Linked DNA regions of Tamandua tetradactyla. The protein of the gene in region 1 purifies or fractionates together with the protein of each later gene. This does not show direct contact. Links are inferred from orthologs where the notes say so. Each region holds a gene or a part of one and is shown on either strand. Other genes may lie near its edges. The genes, in order: PHIP and CUL4B.

Region 1 (8,862 bases):
AACCCCAAACAGCGAATGACAAAAACAAGTGTAAAGTGTAACATATGCAAACCAGAGATGTAAGGATGGTAGGACAAAAAGGCAACGTATTTCTTCCTTCTTATGATACCACTAACTCAATATTCTTAAGATGTTCCCTAATAATGCCCAGTGATGTCACTTCTGATAACTGTCACAGGGAAATAGTAATGCTATGAGCATCACAAAACCCATTATAACATTCCATCTACATGTATACTTCTATGCACTTTAATGTAAGACTGAAAATTATGAGTGCAACAGGATTTGTAGGTGTACTCTCAAAATCAATGTGTAAATTTTTCTTAAATTTTGAACAATCTCAGTTGAAAGTCATATCACTAACTTAAATTTTAGAACTGTATAATAGAACTCATTCTTTGTTCAGGCCAGCTAGTTCATCATCAATTCAACAAATATGCATGAGCATACTCATCAAAGGGAACAAAGCAACAGAGGGATAAGGGATCTTTGTCTAGTATACATATAAGAGAAGAAAAACAAAGGCAATTTGCAAAGTTGTATAATTAGACAGACCTTCCTATGGGAATTTAGAAAATGGGAGGACCACTTTTGACAAAGTCAGTTTAAATCTAAATTGGCTTAATTCTCAATTTTGAGTTGGACCTTATTCTCCCACATCACTTGTCAGGACTGTGATGACAGATCTTATTCTTTTAAACAGCCGTTTTCCTTCTTCACCAACAGTGTCTACCTTGAATCTGAATGTTTTTATTCTGCAAAGATTCCTCACTAACTTGTCAGGTACACCTCCCATTTCCCTGCCCACAATTAAAATAATTTTTCCTTTGGGGTTCTTGAAATTTATTAATTCAGGCACATGTAAATGCTAGTGACCACATAACTCCTATCCTCAAGTTCTATCTAAAAATCACATTGATAATATTAGATTTAATTTAAAACACCACCAGCAGCAACTTTAAAGAGCTTCCACACCTTTATACCCCTGAGACTACCTTGTCTTCTTCCACTGCTCTCTTCAGCCCAACCCACTCCTAAAACACATTCCTATGATAGAATATGCCTACTACATACAGTCTTCTCCTTCTGCCATCTGGAACAGCTTTTTCTACTTCATGCACTATCTCTCTCTCCAAATCTTAAGGGAATATGTTCTGAAATGGCTTTTCCCTTTCAATCTTTGTAATTGTACTTTTAAGCTCATGAAGGGATTTTTAAAAAAAACAAACCTATAAATAAACCCATGAAGATGAGTATTTCTTGCGCAAATTTTATATATATTTAAGATCTAAACTACTAGGGTTATTTAACTTGGAGAAAAAAAGCTGAGTGGTGAATTGCTAATATTTAAATATTGACGTATGATTGTTGGTGACCAGCTAGTTTCCTTTGTTACAGATTACAAGGAAATATGCTTTAATTTAAGTAAAAAGGTTTTTCAGTGAGATATAAGGAAGACAATAAATAGAGTTAAATAATGGATGGCTTAGTAAAATTGGTCATCCCTGTTCTTTCTCTAGCAACCGTTAAATAGTGTTCATGCACCTCAAATTTGATATATATTCAAGCTTTGTGAAGAAGGAAGGATGTACATTTTTGAGAGCGATGAGGTCAGACAGACATAAACAAAAAGATACAATTTTGGGGAGGGAGTCAGAAGGAGTCTTTGCGGTGTACTAAGACCCATTTTATAGCTGTATTCTGTTGGTGGGGTAGATGAGTATAAATGGTATTTTTTGAAGAACAGTGTTTTCCACTTTTCTTTTTCATATTTCATAAAGTTTTCCTATAAAAAAGCATAACTTCAAAACACAGACAAGATTTAACATATAATTCAAAAGTGGTATTTGTAAAGATTTTTTTTGAGTTATGTATTATTCACCACACCAGAGCAAACCAAATTTCGTAAGTGTGGTAGAATCTTTTTATTTATATACAGTATTCCACCTTGTTCCACAAAGGACTTGTATGGCAGTACTTGATTATTTTATTTGAAAAAGAGCTTATCAAGATTAAGATTCAAAAAGTTTTTGTTAAATGTTTTTCTTGTTTCATGTGATGCCAAGTAAAAAGAAGTGAATTTTACAGGAACTTTTAAATTGCAAGGAAAGTTTATAATTCTCCCAGAGACCATATTATATAAAACAACAACTTCCCATAAGTTGTTGTCTTTCCAAACTTTTAATATGTTTTGTTAGAGCTCTTTATTTGAAAAATTTGAAGATCTTTTTAAATTAACATTTTATTTTTGAAGTCAAGAAAAAGTTAATAATTCCCTGAAATACACAAACAGAAAGGGATATAGATAGAATTTGAACTATCCTTTTATGCAAAAGAGTTAGCTGAGAAAAGAATTGCAAGTGTCATTGCTATGGGAACTAAAATATAGAACTTCTAAATAAGATTTTCTTTCTATTTGATACATATACACTTTCTTCATACATATGCACAATAAATGACTTAATGAACCCTGCAACGAACTGATGATGTCAGAATTCAAAACTGTGTTTTAGGCTTGAAGAAATTAAAAATTATATGGATTATATAGTTATATCTGTTAGATTTGAAGACAGCAAAATTCAGTTTAACATCAATTATTAAAAACAATGTAAGAGATGTTTTAATCTTTGGCAGGTAATCTATACTTTCCTAAAATACATTGATAGTTATTAATTACTTCAAAGACAGGGTTACAGATAGCTTTAATTTAGATATTTGAAAAAGAAACTATAAAAACTGTCAATATTGGTCAAAATGAGAGGAACATCATATTCAGAAAATTTAGGAAATTTTCCTTAAAAAAATTTAGGAACTAAGTACTAATAGCATACTTAGGAAAATGGATTAGTGGCTTCCAAATGAAAAACATACGTGAGATCATCATGCTAGTCTTCTACGTTTGCAAAACCCATAAGATACATTGGAAAACTTTACTCAGAGTAATTTTATATTCCATATCATAATTTGATTTATTTTTCTTCTCAAGCATAAAACATCTATTAGTAAAAATCAGACCAATTCAACCATTTCAAGAGCAGAAAATTCCAAGTATAATTTCTGGTTCCTAAAATCTATTGATTTTAGAGAACATCATGATAACATAAAATATCACAATTATTTGAAGGATATACTTTTTAAAAAGTTACGGTAAACTGGAAAGTATCTGCCGTAGAAATAAACACAATTTTAAAAAGGCAAATAAAACATCCTTCTTTTCAAACCTACCCATCTAGAAGCAGACTACCTTGCCTATAATAAAATGGAATTGATATCTTAAAAAATGCAAATATTTTCAGTATTTGAAGCATAGTCTATGTCAATAAATAACAGTTATTTTGATAATTAGGTAGGAATGGTCAAGTCATAGTAACCTTCCATTTTAATTTTATTAAATTGACTTACGAAAGACAATTTTTACATTCTACTATTCTAAAAGGGGTCAGGCTTTTTTCCTTCTTCCTCAAATGTATTATGATTTCTGGATGCTTTAGTACAGGGCACCACACCATTACAGTTTTGCAGTGCAGCCCAAGCCAGTTGCACCAAGTATTTCCCATTAGAAATGTCAGGAGCTGGGAGGTACAAGGCTTGAGGAAACAACCTAGAAAACCATAATACAGCTTGTGGGTCTTTTCCACACAAATTACCTTTTTAAACCAGATCCATAAAGTGCAGTGTATTATCCTTATGTTTTAAGAAGAATCTTTTGTCAAATATTAACAAAAGAAGGACTAACCTAATTCACTTGAAAATGCAATTTAAAAACAAAAACAAAAACATCTGAACTCTCAGGTCTTTTTGGAAAGTGCTTGAATCATTTCGAGATAAATATTATTTAGTATCCTTGTTTTCTAACAAATGGCTTTTTCCATTGTTTCCATTAATTTCACCCATATTCGTTTTTAAGAAAACAAGGCCCTTATCCTCATCAGCAAAACACAGATGTATGATTTAGCATATAAAACCGGTAATTACAGAGTAATTTACAAAAGATTATTTTTTCTCTTTTCTTCAGTTTTCACGAAGTCTTCCCGTGATTAAATGTAAACAGAATGGTTTACACCTCAAATTAGAAGCCATTAATTAGCATGACGAAGTCAACTGCAAGATACACAGATAATTTAAATTATTTAATCCTAATCACTTTGGCTAAACTGTACGTAGTATTTCAATATCCTTTGGTAGGTTATCGATGTGTCATTAAATTACCCCCAGATCAGTTAGAGATAAATATTAGCGTCCTTTGCTTTTCCTCAGATTTACACTATCCCATCTTGTAAATACTTAAAAGAGCTTTAAGGTTCCTTAATCCCAGATCCCTAATTAGCCATTACTGGCCTTTTTTGTAATCAGGAAAAAAAAGAGTATGAAGTACAAGCCAGGAGTTCGTTCTGCCCAAGTATCAATAAAAAACATTTAAAAAATGTACGATTAAGGAAACAGCAGTAATAAAAAAATATGCAGAGGTAGCTTCAGCAAATAACGGGCTTACAAAATGCAAGTGCTTAACAAAAAAAACCGCCCGAACCTTTATTGCAATATACAGCACTCCAATAAATTACACAACACTTGCATAGGCTGCAGAAATAACGCAGGGTAAGACTTACACAGATGCCAATCCGCAGCATTTATACACATGCACATGGCAAGAGACAGAAACCAAACACTATCATTCAACTCGGGGATGGTAGCGCGATCCCGAGTTTGCCCAGCGTGAGAATGCTCTCTGCGTGTGTCTGTGTGCGCGCGTGAGAGTGAGACCCATCCTCGGGGTATTTCCCCTCTTTGGGCAGTTTTGCTTCATTTGTTTCCTATTTCTGCTACATAGAAACTAACTTCCATCTCAGCATTAGCCTGCGCCGCTGAATAGAGCCTGTGCTGCGGCTCCGTGTGCGTCAGATCCCTCCGCTGAGCCAGTCCCAACCCCCTCCCTCCCGCTGTCGGCCTCCACAGAGAAAGCGCCTTCCAGCCAACCCGAGGCTCCGACATCTTCTCCAACTGGAAATAAATAAATAAATCGAACCCTTGGCTGGGGAGGAAGGGGCGGGAGTCGCGCCGATCCAGTTGCCCGAGCGTCGAGGGCGAGGGGCAGGAGGCACTCCTTTTTTGCGCCGGGGGGGCGGGGGCACAGGCCTCAGACCCGGCCAAGCACGAAGCCGCGAAGGCGGTGGACTCCTTTCTGCGGCGGAGGGATTCGCGGCGGAGGCGGCGGCGGCCGTAGCCGCTGCCTGAGAGTTGTTGTTTCCTCCTCCTCCTCCTCCTCCTCCGCCGCCGTTGGTTGAATGGTGGAGCCGAGGTTCGGCTCGTGAACACACAGTGACAGCTATAGGGCAGGCGGCGGCACCATCCCCGCTTCCTCTCGGCGGCGGGGTGCCCCGCCGGCGGCCCTGAAGTGACCCATAAACATGTCTTGTGAGAGGAAAGGCCTCTCGGAGCTGCGATCGGGTAAGTCGAGGAGATGCCGGGGCCGCTGGCACCAGGCGATTCCGCCCGCGGTCCCCCGCCCCCCCCGCCGTCCGGCTGCTCAGCCCCTGTGTCTCCCCGTTCCTCTCTCCCGCGCAGAGCTCTACTTCCTCATCGCCCGGTTCCTGGAAGATGGACCCTGTCAGCAGGCGGCTCAGGTACGGCGGCGCGCGGCGCGGGCTGGGCCGGCGCTCGCCGCTCGCGGGCGTGGGGGAGGGCGGCGGCAGTGGGGCTGCGGCCCGGGGCGCGGGGCTCAACTCTCCCCGCTTTGTTGTTGCAGGTGCTGATCCGCGAGGTGGCCGAGAAAGAGGTAAGGGCGGCGGCGGCCCACCGCATCCCGCCGCAGCGCGGCTGTCTCTGGGCCGCTGCGCCGCTGCCGCCGCCGGCGGGGCGCGGGGCGCGGGGTTTGGGGTCCCCGCTGGGGCGCGGGACGGGCGAGGGAGGGGAGCATGCGGGCCGGGGCCGGGGACTGGGCTCACGGGGCGTGCTCTCCCCGCAGCTGCTGCCCCGGCGCACCGACTGGACCGGGAAGGAGCATCCCAGGACCTACCAGAACCTGGTGAGACATTCACGTCGCGGAGCAAAGAAACTTTTCCCCGAGTCGAATAAAAATTGAATTTCCCGCAATTTTTTACAGAGACAAAAACTTGGCCCCAGAACGTGAAAGCTGCAAAGGCCACGGGGAGGTTTGGGAGGCCGGCGCAGGGGCTGCGGGGAGCAGTGGCCTGAGGGACTCGCACCCCGGGGCCGTAGGGGCTGCCGACAATTTATTTGTGATATTTTGTTAATGTGCTAGAAATAAAGATACGTCATGAGTGTTGTGCAGTGCAAGGCCGGAGGAGGAGGGGCCGGCGCGCGCGTCCGTGCGGGCGCGGGGGCGCGCGCGAGGTGGCGGCGGCGGCGGCGGCGGCGGGAGGAGGAGGAGGAGGAGGGAGGGCGCGCTCGTTCGTTCGCTCTGCACGCGCGGCCGGCTCGGCTTTCTCCTTCCCCACACAATAGCTGGTGACTAACTGCTCCGAAGTGGCATTAGCATTTCACAAGCAGGCTATTCAGCAACTGCGGAACCAGGGCAAGTCGTTATTCTTATTTTTTCCTCTCCCGTTTATTTTTCTTTCCTTAAATTCAGACCACGTTTTTTGTTGTTTAAGGAATTTAGTGATGATAGTTGGCTAGGGCACATTTTGCATGTACTAAGACGAATTTACAGAAGTGTAAAACCTGAGTAACACCCTAAAACCAGAGGTTTAAGAGGCTTTTGAAAATGCTAATTTTCGTGCTAAACCCCTTGTCCAAATAGAAATTATTGGAGGCCACCGAAGAGTTGATTTTATCCTTTCATATTTGTTGTGGGATGAAAAATTGGCAAGTAAAAGTTTTTCTGTTTGTATTGGATAGTATATATTATTTGATAGCTTGAAAAAGGCTTGTTTCTTAATTTTGTTGGTTTTCGAAGTAAGTAGGAATTTCTAAAAATGGACTTTAAAAAGTGGACCTATCGCTTAAGGATCGTAAATTGAAATGTAAGATAATGTTATCCCGGAGCTAGATTTTACATAAAGTTTGCTATTTAACTGTACGAACATGTGTGTTGGGCAGTTAAAGCAATCCCATCAGGGCATACCAAGCCTTTGAAATGTATGAAGTCCACTGACGTTCTGTAACATATTTGCAGATAGTTTTGAGATAGAATTACTGATATCACTTTTACAAGTTTCAGCCAGCTGAGAGTGAATGTCTTCCATAAGGTATAGCATGATTTTGGTGGCTTTTGTTTCATTTTGTATATAGTGCACGTGTATAAATCTCTTGTGCTTTAATATAAGTTGTTGATGAACCAAAGATAACTTAGGTTTAATGAATGTAGTGGAGATTTTCGGTATATTTCTACACTTTGTTAGTTTTCAAGCAGTGGTTTAGGCTAGTTTCATTCAGTACTTGGCCAAGGTGAAGTTTGAAGTAAACTGCAAGACTATAAGTGCAACATTAGAAATTAATGTGTAGGTTTGTAAATATTTGATAGTCTTCAGTGGATTTCCAAGATTTCCTAGGTATTTGAAAACATTTAAATAATTTTAATCCATTTTTAGGACAGGTATATTTTGCAGAAGTTATCTTTGCATCCCTTAAAAAACAAACCCTAAGTTACCGAAAATTGCTGTGTTCTCTTACTTGAGGTTCTTTATAATTAATATAATAAATAGCAATATTAAAGTATATTTGCATATTTTAAATATGCCAAATTATGGGACTGACTGATCCTTGTAGGGTATCATTTTTTCCCAGTAAAGAGTGCCAATTTTGACTTTTATTGAACTTTTTAGAGAAGTTTCTCATCTCAAATATGAATGAAATGAATTTATAGTCTATCAGACTTAAGATACAGTAACCAGTGTCTTAATCAGTTGTGTTGTTTATCAAAATCCACCTATTTTGGATGGAAGTGGTTTTTCTTGTTTGGAATGTTTTCATCTCTTGTTGGCATACTCATGAGACAGTTAAGAATTTTCATTAGAATTCACAGTTCTTTGACTCATTTTCTATTCATTTAGCATGTTTGTTCAATCTGTTTCTACTGTATGCCAGGTGCCATTTGAGGTGCTTTCAAATGCATCAAAATATGTATTTAATGTGTGGCTTGGTTTAATGCTATTTAATTGTTTTATTGAGATTTAATTGGCTGTAAAAATGTTTTGGAGCGCAAGGTTTCTGAGCACATTTTATTATTTAGTAGTAGATCTTGAAATGTTATGTCCAGGTGAATATATGTGAAGGGTCTTATATTCTCTGTTGTCTTAATTTATTTTTAGAACTCAGAAAAGTTTTTATTTTGTTGCCTATTGAATTTAACGTTGGTTTGAAGATTATTTTGGTGAGTGCAATTGTTTTTGGTTTCAGTAGTGTCTACTTCTACCTGTAAATGATTTGTTGCTAAGTTAATAGATAAACTGAGCAGTATTTTCAAATGAGAGTGTTTATATGTCAGATTGAAATCCCTTGAAAAACCCAAATTATAGCCATTTAGGATGGTGTGTGGTATTTGTGAGTTTAAAAAAAATAGGCATGGATCAGCATGTGCAGTCCACTGACAGACGTTCATAATGAATTTTGATGAAGAGGAAAATGGAGTCTTGAGAGCAGTTTTAAAAGTTTACAGATTTAAAAATAACATTGACGCATTTATTTCAAGTGTGATTGAGAAAGGAAACACATAATGTGAGGGTTATTTCTTCCTTTGGTAAAACATTACTGACAGTTACCAGCTAACAAGATTTAAAACGTTTTTAGCAGTGAATTTGATAGAAGGTCGTATTTTTCTTTGGCTTAATGAATGGCATAGGTTTCTGATTTCATTTTTTTAGAATATGTTGATTTTAAAGCAAAAGGGCAGTTCCCAAGCCT
Region 2 (9,752 bases), on another chromosome or scaffold:
TCCTCTCACAAGACATCACACTGGTCCTTTATATTGATGATATGTTTATTGGACCCAGTGAGCAAGAAGTACCAACTACTCTGGACAAATTGGTAAGGTATTTGTACTCTGAAGGATGGGAGATAAGTCCAACAAAAGTGAAGGAACTTTCCACCTCAATGAAATTTCTAGGTGTCCAGTAGTGTGCGGCATGTCAAGATATCCCTTCTAAGGTGAAGGATAAGCTGTTGCATCTGGTCCCTTGTACAACCAAAAACAGGCACAATGCTTAGTTGGCACATTAAGAATTTGGAGACAACATATTCCTCATTGGGGTATGTTACTCTGGCCCATTCACTAAGTAACCCAAAAAGCTCGTTTTGAGTGTGGACCAGAACAAAAAGAGGCTCTGAAACAGGTTCAGGTTGCTGTGAAAGCTTCTGTGCCACTTGGGCCATATGATCCAGCAGATTCAGTGGTTCTAGAAGTGTCAGTGACAAATAGAGATGCTGTCTGGAGCCTTTGGCAGGCTCCTATAGGATAAAAACAATGCAGGCCCTTAGGATTTTGGAGCAAAGTCTTGCCATCTTCTGCAGATAACTACTCTCCTTTTGACCAACAGCTTTCAGCCTGCTACGGGGCCTTAGTAGAGACTGAACGCTTAGTTACCCTGAGACCTGAGTTGTCTATTATGAGCTGACTGTTGTCTCACCCACCAAGCCATAAAGTTAGGCATGTACAACTGTACTCCATCATAAAATGGAAGTGGTATATGTGAGATAGGGCCAGAGCAGGTCCTGAAGACTCAAGTAAGTCACATAATGAAAGGCCCAAAAGCCTATGGCCCCCACTCCTGCCACATTACCTTCTCTTTCCAGCCACAGCTATGGCCTCTTGGGGAGTTCCTTACAGTGAGCTGACTGAGGAAGAGAAAACTCTGGCCTGGTTTACAGGAGGTTCTGCACAATATGTGGGTACCACATGAAAGTGCACAGCTGCAGCACTGCAGCCCTTTTCTTGTTATCCCTGAAGGACAGTGGTGAGGGGATATCCTCCTAGTGGGTGGAACTTCAAGCAGTGCACTTGGTTGTTCATTTTGCTTGGAAGGGGAAATGGCTGGAGGGGCATTTGTATATGATTCATGGGCTGTCGCTAACGGTTTGGCTGGATGGTCAGGGACTTAAAAGAACATGACTGGAAAATTGATGACAAAGAGGTCTGGGGAAGAGGTATGTAAATAGACCTTTCTGAGTGGGCAAAAAACATGAAGATATTTGTATCCCACATGAATGCTCACCAGAGTGTGAGTTCATTCAGCAAAGGAAGACTTTAATAATCAAATGGATAAGATGATCCATTCTGTGGAAACCAATTGGCCTCTTTCCACAGCTACTGCTGTCATTGCCCAATGGGCTCATAGTATGGTGGTAGGGATGAGGTTATGGATGGGCTCAGCAACATGGATTTTCACTCACCAAGGCTGACCTGGCTATGGCCACTGCTGCATGTCCGATCTCTTAGCAGCAGAGACCAACACTCTGTCCTCAATTTGGCCCATTCCCAAGGTGATCTGCCTGATAGCAGGTTGATTACATTGGACCACTTCCATCATGGAAGAGGTAGCGTGTGGTACCTGGAATAGACACATACTCTGGATAGGCATTTGCCTTCCCTGCATACAATGCTTCTGGCAAAACTACCGTTCATGGACTTATAGAATGCCTTATCCTCCATCATGGTATTCTATACAGCATTGCTTCTGATAAAGGAACATATACACAGCAAATGAAGTGAAGAAATGGGCCCATGCTCATGGAGTTCACTGGTCTTACCATGTAACCCTTCATGTTAAGGCAGCTGGATTGATAGAATCATGGAATGGCCTTTTGAAGACTCATTTACAGCACCAGTTAGGAATACCAATGGCCCAGAAACTTCAGGAATAACACTTTGCTCATCCCACCAAGCAATGAGTCAGAACCAGCTGAGATGCTTCCCTCAGGGTAAGGGTTATTTGGAAATGGTAGTAGAAGAAGCTAGTGATAAATACAGACTATGACCACATGACCAGTTACAGAAATGAGGAATATCACAGTTATGAATATTTCTTCCTTGTCTTGTTATATTTCCACATGAACATAAAGTAAATATAATTGTTGTCTTCCCTATCTTATCCCCTTATCACACAACAAAAGTTGTATTAGTTTCATGTTGTTATATTTACATGAATATACCCAAGGGCTTCCACCATATTCTGGAGAGAGTTAGTGTGTTTCCAGTTGTATGCAGGACAAGTGAGCATTGTTAGGCAAAAATATGACTGATATTAATTGTTATTTAGTGATTAAGTCTGATTTATGTTGATCTGTATGGCTGCCGGTTCATGTGTCAACTTGGCCAGTTGATGGTGTCCAGTTGTTTGGTCAAGCAAGCACTGGCCTGTGAGGACATTTTGTGGACTTAAGTCATCAGTAAGTTGATTACATCTATGTCTGATTACATCTACAATCAACCAAAAAGAGTGCCTTCAGCAATGAGAGAAGTCTCATCCTATCAGTTGAAGGCTTTAAAAGAAGTGATGATTTCAGCAGTCAGGACGGAGAATTTCCATGTCTTTGGCAGCTGGCCAGCTTCTCTTGGGGAATTCATCAAAAACCTTCAACACAGTTCCCAGCTTGCAGCCTGACTTATGGAATTTGGACGTGCAAATTCCAACAATCACATGAAACAATTTCTATAAATATCTCATATTTTCAGGTTATCTTCTGTTGATTCTGTTTCTCTAGAGAACCCTGTCTAATACACCTACTATGCCTCTTGGATGTTTCAAAAGCACCTCAAATTCAACATTTCCAAAACCAAACTCTTTCTTCCTTCCCAACCCCCTAAAACTGAAGCAAAAACTTGATCCTCTCCCAGGATTCTCTATGTCAGTGAATATCACTATCATCTATCCACTTGTACAAGCCAGAAATCATGGAATCATCCTTACTACGTCCTCTCCCTCATGTCTATGTCCAACCCATCCTGAAACCCTATCAATTTTACCTACCAAAATCTCCTCAAACTTGCTTCTACTCTCTTGATCTCTGCCAGTCCCACCATCTCTAAGATATCTGCATTTACACCAGGAGTATAGTAATTGCCTTCTAATTGAGCTCCCTACTTTGACTTTTGCCACTAATCTGCTGCTTTTTACAATCAAAGTGGTCTTTTACAAAACCCAGATTTGCATATTTAATTTTTTCAATTGTTCTTATTGTTTTTAGGGTTGCAATGTGTACACAGGGCCCCTCAAGAGCAAATTAGAAAAAGGCATGATACTTGAAGCAGAAAAATTGCAAAAGAAAGAGTGTCCTCTTGGGTACGGTTAGTTAAAAAAAAAAGTCACCCCTTTGGACAGACCAGTTACAAAAGCTTGTCTTTCTCTTGCTTTAGGACACAAGGCTAGGTTAACTAGCTGGATTTCATTTCCCCACTCCTACCTGTTCAGTCAAACACGCTGGTGCAGGGCACATTCTGCAGAACCATACATAGTGAACAATAGGGTCTCTGTTGATGCCAATTACAATGCCCAGAGACAAGGCCTTGGTCCTATCGGGTCTTCTAAAAATTCCATGCACAGGGTTGAGAGGTCATGTTTAAACTCAGAGGCCTAAAGCAGGCTCTTATGACAGCAGCATTTCCTCCCCACCTTTCACTGCTCCAAGAGACAAGCCCCTTAATTCCCTAAGATCTGATGTTTATGTCATAGGAGCTCAGAAAAGGGAGGGCAGATTGAAAAGGATATGTGAATTTGACTGAAAATGTCAAAAATTTGGTACTACACGCCTATCAAAATGGCTAAAATGCAAAAATTGTGACTCAAACACCAAATACTAAATAGGGTGCAGAAAAATTGCATCAACTCATACACTGATGGTGGGACTATAAAAGTTTAAAAGTTTACAGATTTAAATAACATTCTTGAAACAACAAAATTATAAAAATGAAGAACAGAATGGAGTTACTAGGGGTTCAAGAGGGAGGGGAGAGAAGGAATGTGGGAGTGGCTATAATATGTATTTGTACAGAATTTATATTTGTGTTGATAGTAAAGTTTTAGAAATGGAGGGTGGTAATGGTAGCACAACATTAACAGCACTGAATTATATATATGAATGTGGTTAAAAGGGGAAATTTTAGGTCATATATATGTTACTAGAATAAAAATTAAAAGATAAAACATAGGACTGTACAACCCTACTGAAAACTATGGACTATAGTTAATAGTACAATTATAAAGATATTCTTTTATAAATTATGACAAATATGCCACACTAATGCAAGGTGTTACTGATAGGGTGGTATAAGAGGAAAAATACACCTAATATAAATGATGGACTATAATTAATAATACAGTTATAATATTCTTTCACCAGTTGTAACAAAGATACCAAACTAATGCAAAGTGTTAATAATGGGGGGTGTACATAGGGATGCTGTATTTTTACATGATTTTTCTGTAAACCTACAACTTCTCTAATTAAAAATATTAAATAATAAAATAACATATGCAGTACTGAAGTAGAAATGCATATATGATTCAGAGTTTTCTAGTGGCCAAAGCAACAAAGGAAACAATAAATTACAAGTAGTAAATTTTATATGAAATAAATATGATTGTATACAAAACAGTCTGGGAGAAGCTCCTCCATGGACCCTCATACCAAGCATTATAGTGGGCAATGCTCTTCATGAAAAAAATACTGTATGCCTATTTTTATAGGATCTATTATTGTAAGCAGAGAGAACATACCTCCAAAGCAAACTTTATGGAAAGCAAATACTATATAAAATTAAACAACATAAGCAAAAATAAAAAGGGACATTAATTAAGAAGGATCCTTGCATTGATGGAACTGTCCTGTATCTTAATAGTAGCAATGCCAATATCCTGATTGTGATATTGTACTACAGTTTTGCAAGATGTCACCATTGTGGGAAACTGGCTAGACGGTACAAGACAGCTCCTTGTATTATTTCTTACAACTGCGTCTGGATCTACAATTATCGCAAAATAAGAAGGATAAGTAAATTTTTAAATTTAAATAAAAATTAAAAGTTGCAAGTCAATAAAAGCCCATTCATAAAACTCTATTAACTTGAAGTCATAAAGTCACAATGAAAAATTGAATTTGCCTCTTTACAAATGGATCAGGGGCATCTATAACCTTGTTAATCGCAAAGTGTTGTTATTTTTTGTCTACTGAGATATTTACAAAAAGATGGCTAGCACCTTGATTGATTTTTATGAGTGTCATTGCTCTTGATATGATTATTTGTATATCACACTTCTATGCTGGGATAAATACATTTTTAAAAAATGTTAATGCCTCCTAAGTGAGATTGCAACTTAAATTTGGAGCAAACTATCTCTTTGTTCTGGAGAAAAACGAGTTCTCTACATGCCATTTCATAATGTAAATTCAACAGACATCATCAGATCCAACCCAGTTGAATGAAGCAACGACTGTAAATATTTTGGACTAGAATTTGTGGTCAGATGATAAACTATGTCTCTGAAGACTTTGTTGATCTTTGGGGAGAAATGGTTATCATTTTCCCCATACCTGTTTAGACAGATCCATGCCTGTATATCACTGTTTGTCGAATGAAGTTAAGTATGTTATTGTTCCGGCAATTGGTAGCATAAGACGAGGCGATGAGACAGAGAGGACTGCAGAAAACATAGTGTGAAAAGGAACTAGGCTAGTCTTGGCACAAGAACAACCCTGGCTTGCCTGCAGATGTCTCATAGGCGGTATTATCAAAGATAGAATAAACCAGACCTTAGAAATGTACCCATACCAGATCGTTTTGAGGTTTTGGTTTTTTGTATTTGGCACCAACAGGTGCCTGTTAGACAAGTGGGGTTACCCCTGAAATAATTGGTCAGATCTACTGTCAATCATCTTAGAAAACAATTAAGTGAACCGGAAATCGAGCCTCTGTGGGCGGAGCTTAGGTCGAAGGGCGACCTCAAGTTGTAAGGGTACTTGTTTGTGAACGGTCCTGGCTGATCCGTCAGGTTTTTAGAGATCGGACTTTTCATAGATCAACAATAAAGATGCCCTGTTGGTCCTCATGTGATGGTGAGCTAAGCACCCCTTTGAGATTGTGAAAGGCGGTTAGAGTACCGTTTAAGAACCAACTGAAAGTGGGTCTGGACTTGGGCCTACCGACTCTAAATGAAGCCATATCTTGAGGTATTTAAGTTATTCCCTATGTTGTATTTTCTTATGTTATTCCCAAATGTATAGTAGAAATACATTAAAAGATATAGTCTTTCTTCATCTGTGATGTGGAGAATTTAGGAAAAAGCCCAGTATAATCATTGTCATTAGTGGAGAAAGCACTATCCGGCAAAGTGGTGATAACAAGAGGTCCCTCAAGAACAGGGACAAAAGCGCTGAAGCCTGAGGAGGAAGAAAATTAGCGATCTGGTTCTGATCATATGTGGAGAACCCTTAGAAATAGTTTTGAGGGAAGTCTAATTTTTGGCATTCAAGCGGGGGTGGTGTGGAGGTCGGGGCTCAAGTCATTGTAGTTTGGGGATTTAAAAGGAAACGTTTGACTTTCAATTTGAGATGTCAGTCTGAACAAACGTGTTTTCCTCTTAAAATTATATTTAAATGAAAGAAAAAAATATAAGAATAGAGCCATAACTACAAGTGGTAACAGAGAAGGGTGATTAGCAGACTAAAATGTTGAGGATCATCTTGAAGATATGAAACCAATAGGATAAAACTGGTTGAGAAACCATAGTCAGTGAACTCATAACACCATATGGGAGAAGACTGCTTTAAAAGTGAATTCTCTGTTTTTTAATACAGCCCAAAAGACAGGATGTCACAGACATCTGGATCAGGGAATACGCGTGATGATGGGGAGATCCCAGAAGACAATGGTGAGTAAATCAACTAAGTAAAACCTAGAGTTAAGTCTAAATAATTGTTAACAGTATGTCCAGGAATCTTGAAGAAATTATTAAGAAATTATTCCTATGAAGATCAAGGCATAAAACAATAAGAATTTAATAACAAGGTGGAAATAAATTCCCCCAGACAGAGTAGGGATTACGGGATGGTGGTCAAGAAGGGCACTTCTGCTTTTGCTTTATAGTTGTTGTTTTACAGTGAGAATGAATTCATATACTATTTTGGCAAAACTTTTAAAGTTTCATAATACTTAGTTTGATGATATTGATAATAGTATAAAATTTTGCTAATATTAGTGTTATAATATAAAAGTTTGATAATATTAGTGGTGCTAAAGATGCGGGACAGTCAACAGTCATTCTGAAGTTGACCCGATTCCATTTCTTCAAAAAAATCCTTGGTAATACTTTCACACATGCACAAAGATATATGTTATAGCATGTTTATTGCAGCATGCTGGTAGTAGCAAAAAGGGAAATAACCAAATGTCCAAAAATAGGAGACTAGTTAAATGACATGTTGTATTTATTTACTATGAATTAGTATGCAAATTGTAAAAAAGAATGAGGTAAATTTCTAGGTACCGTCATGTAAAGATCTCCAATATACATTAAGTGAAAAAGGCAAATTGTAGATATATATGTATGGTATGATATCATTTATGCTTAAAAATACCAAAGCTAAAAAATAAAAAGAGACAGAGGTTTCCAGGGGTCTGGGACTCTAGCCTAGTACCTCTCTCCCTTCCTTCTTCTACTTGATGAAAACCTGATAGAGAAGCAGAGAAATGCTGTATCTGGGTTACAGATGAGTCTGTATAAGTCCTCTTTCTAGGTACCCTCCTGTGTGCTCTAGAGATTTTTTTTTTCCTCCACAGGAAAGCTAATTTAAATCTTTTTGTATTCTTTTATTTCATTACCATTTGTAAGCTGTAGATTACATTTGGGTAAATTTACTTAAAGTTTTAAATTCTTGTTATAGAGCAGGAAGCAAAATTAAAAGTCACCACTAAACATTCTCCATATTCCTGTTTTTATCACTCCATATATTATGGTGCAAGTATCAGCAATTTTTTTCTGTAATAAATTAGATAGGAAATATTTTATGCTTTGTGGGCCATATGGTCTCTGTCACAACTACTGAACTCTGTTGTTTTAAGAAAAAAGCAGCTTAGGAAATATGTAAATGAATGGGCATAGCTATGTTCTAATAACCCTTCATTTACAAAAACAGGCAATGGGTCAGATTTGGTAAACAGGTTTGCCAGCTTCTGCTCTAAAACTGGTAATAGTTTGCCAGCCACTGCTCTGTTTTATCTTGTTAGCTTGTGTCTTACTTCCCATGCTTTAGCCCCACAGCTCTTATATCCAAAGATGAGTCCAACTTGTAGATCCATTTCCTGAATCAGTCTGGCTCAAGATAAGAACTATTATTCAGAAGCCACAGCTCCAACAGTAGGCCTAGGAATTGCTATGCCAGACTTGAGACTGCGATGCTTCCTTGACATCTCTGTTTAGCTCTCTAGTTTCTGATTAGGAATGTAGCCAAGCACGGATAACTTGTCTCCTTGTAAATGCCTGCTTATTCTCTCACCTCAGGACTTTAACAGGCTGTCTTCCCTCCTTGTGCCCCCAGCTCCCTCCCTTGTCTGCCTAATTGCCACTCCTCCTTGGGATTTAGATTGAATTACTTTCTCTGGAAGTTATTCTTAACTCCCCACCCTCACATTTCCTCCACTCCATTCCACCTTCCTAGGATTCCCAGGTTTCCCTCCTCTTTGTTCTCATAGCAGTGGTTGTCAGCTCCATCCTGCATTTGTCTGCCTCACCTACTAGGCCAATTGAGAACTGTTTTCGGGCAAGGGTTGTCTTTGTATATTCAGTGATAGGATCATAAGGGTTCTCCAGCAAGATCTGCTCAGTGTTTGTCTGGCTGTGACCAGAAGAAGGAGCTGGTTTGTACCTCCTGTGAAGATGAGCCATTGACTGAGGGTCCAGCCCTGGAATGGACTGATTTCCTAGAACCAAATTGGCACTGTCTCCTTGAATGTGTATTGCTTGCTACTGTGTCCTACCTACTTGATGATGGCCTGAATTGCATCCAAGCTTGGTCTCCTTTAAGCACTGTGATTTGGCTCAGTGCAATAAAGGAGTTATTTTAGTATTCCTCTTTTTTTTTTTTCACTGGTGAGTGGGCCTCAGTACGTCTTTTCCTAACTTGCCTTCTACTTGAGACTATTTTATGACAATGTCTCCTGACTAAACTGTAAACTGTGGGAAATACTGTATTTGGAACTAGAAAAGAACTAGGGTTAAGTCTGTGCTTTGTGACTTTGGCAAGTCATTTTAACTTCCTTCCCTGAGCCTGTTTCTCATCTGTAAATTAGGAATGGTATCTGACTCACCTCGGTTTGAAGATGGAATAGGATTATTTGTGTGAAAGTACTTTAAAATTATAAAAACAACCATATATGGAAAGTTTGTTCATTGTATTAGTTCTATATTTCCTCACAGCATCTAGACTGGTGTTATGCCCAGAGTAGTTGTTCAATACATTTTTGTTCAATGACCAAATGAATTGGCCAAAGAAATAATGCTATTGGTGGGAAGAAAGGACATTTAATAGACTCAGGAAAAATAGATGACTTGGCGATAGAAACATCCATATGGTTAATGATAATTCAGAAGTTGGGCATTTATGGATCGCTCCAAACTTACATTCCCAAATATCTGCTCTTTACTTATAAAAATATTTAAATTTTCTTTTAACATGATTTTAGCAGCTGGGCTAAAC

The links.
Region 2: the proteins of PHIP (region 1) and CUL4B purify together in Homo sapiens (affinity purification with western blotting; 8 studies listed by BioGRID and IntAct, with this or other methods). This does not show direct contact. The link is inferred for Tamandua tetradactyla from reciprocal best matches to the Homo sapiens genes PHIP and CUL4B.

Annotation. Positions count from the first base shown.
Region 1 is NC_135331.1:135,416,611-135,425,472, reverse strand, and holds the start of PHIP (PH-interacting protein), read left to right. Parts: upstream 1-5,170; 5' UTR 5,171-5,405; coding exon 5,406-5,445; intron 5,446-5,562; coding exon 5,563-5,621; intron 5,622-5,743; coding exon 5,744-5,773; intron 5,774-5,962; coding exon 5,963-6,022; intron 6,023-8,862.
Region 2 is NC_135353.1:46,082,972-46,092,723, forward strand, and holds the start of CUL4B (cullin-4B), read left to right. Parts: upstream 1-5,973; 5' UTR 5,974-6,227; intron 6,228-6,854; 5' UTR 6,855-6,867; coding exon 6,868-6,928; intron 6,929-9,752.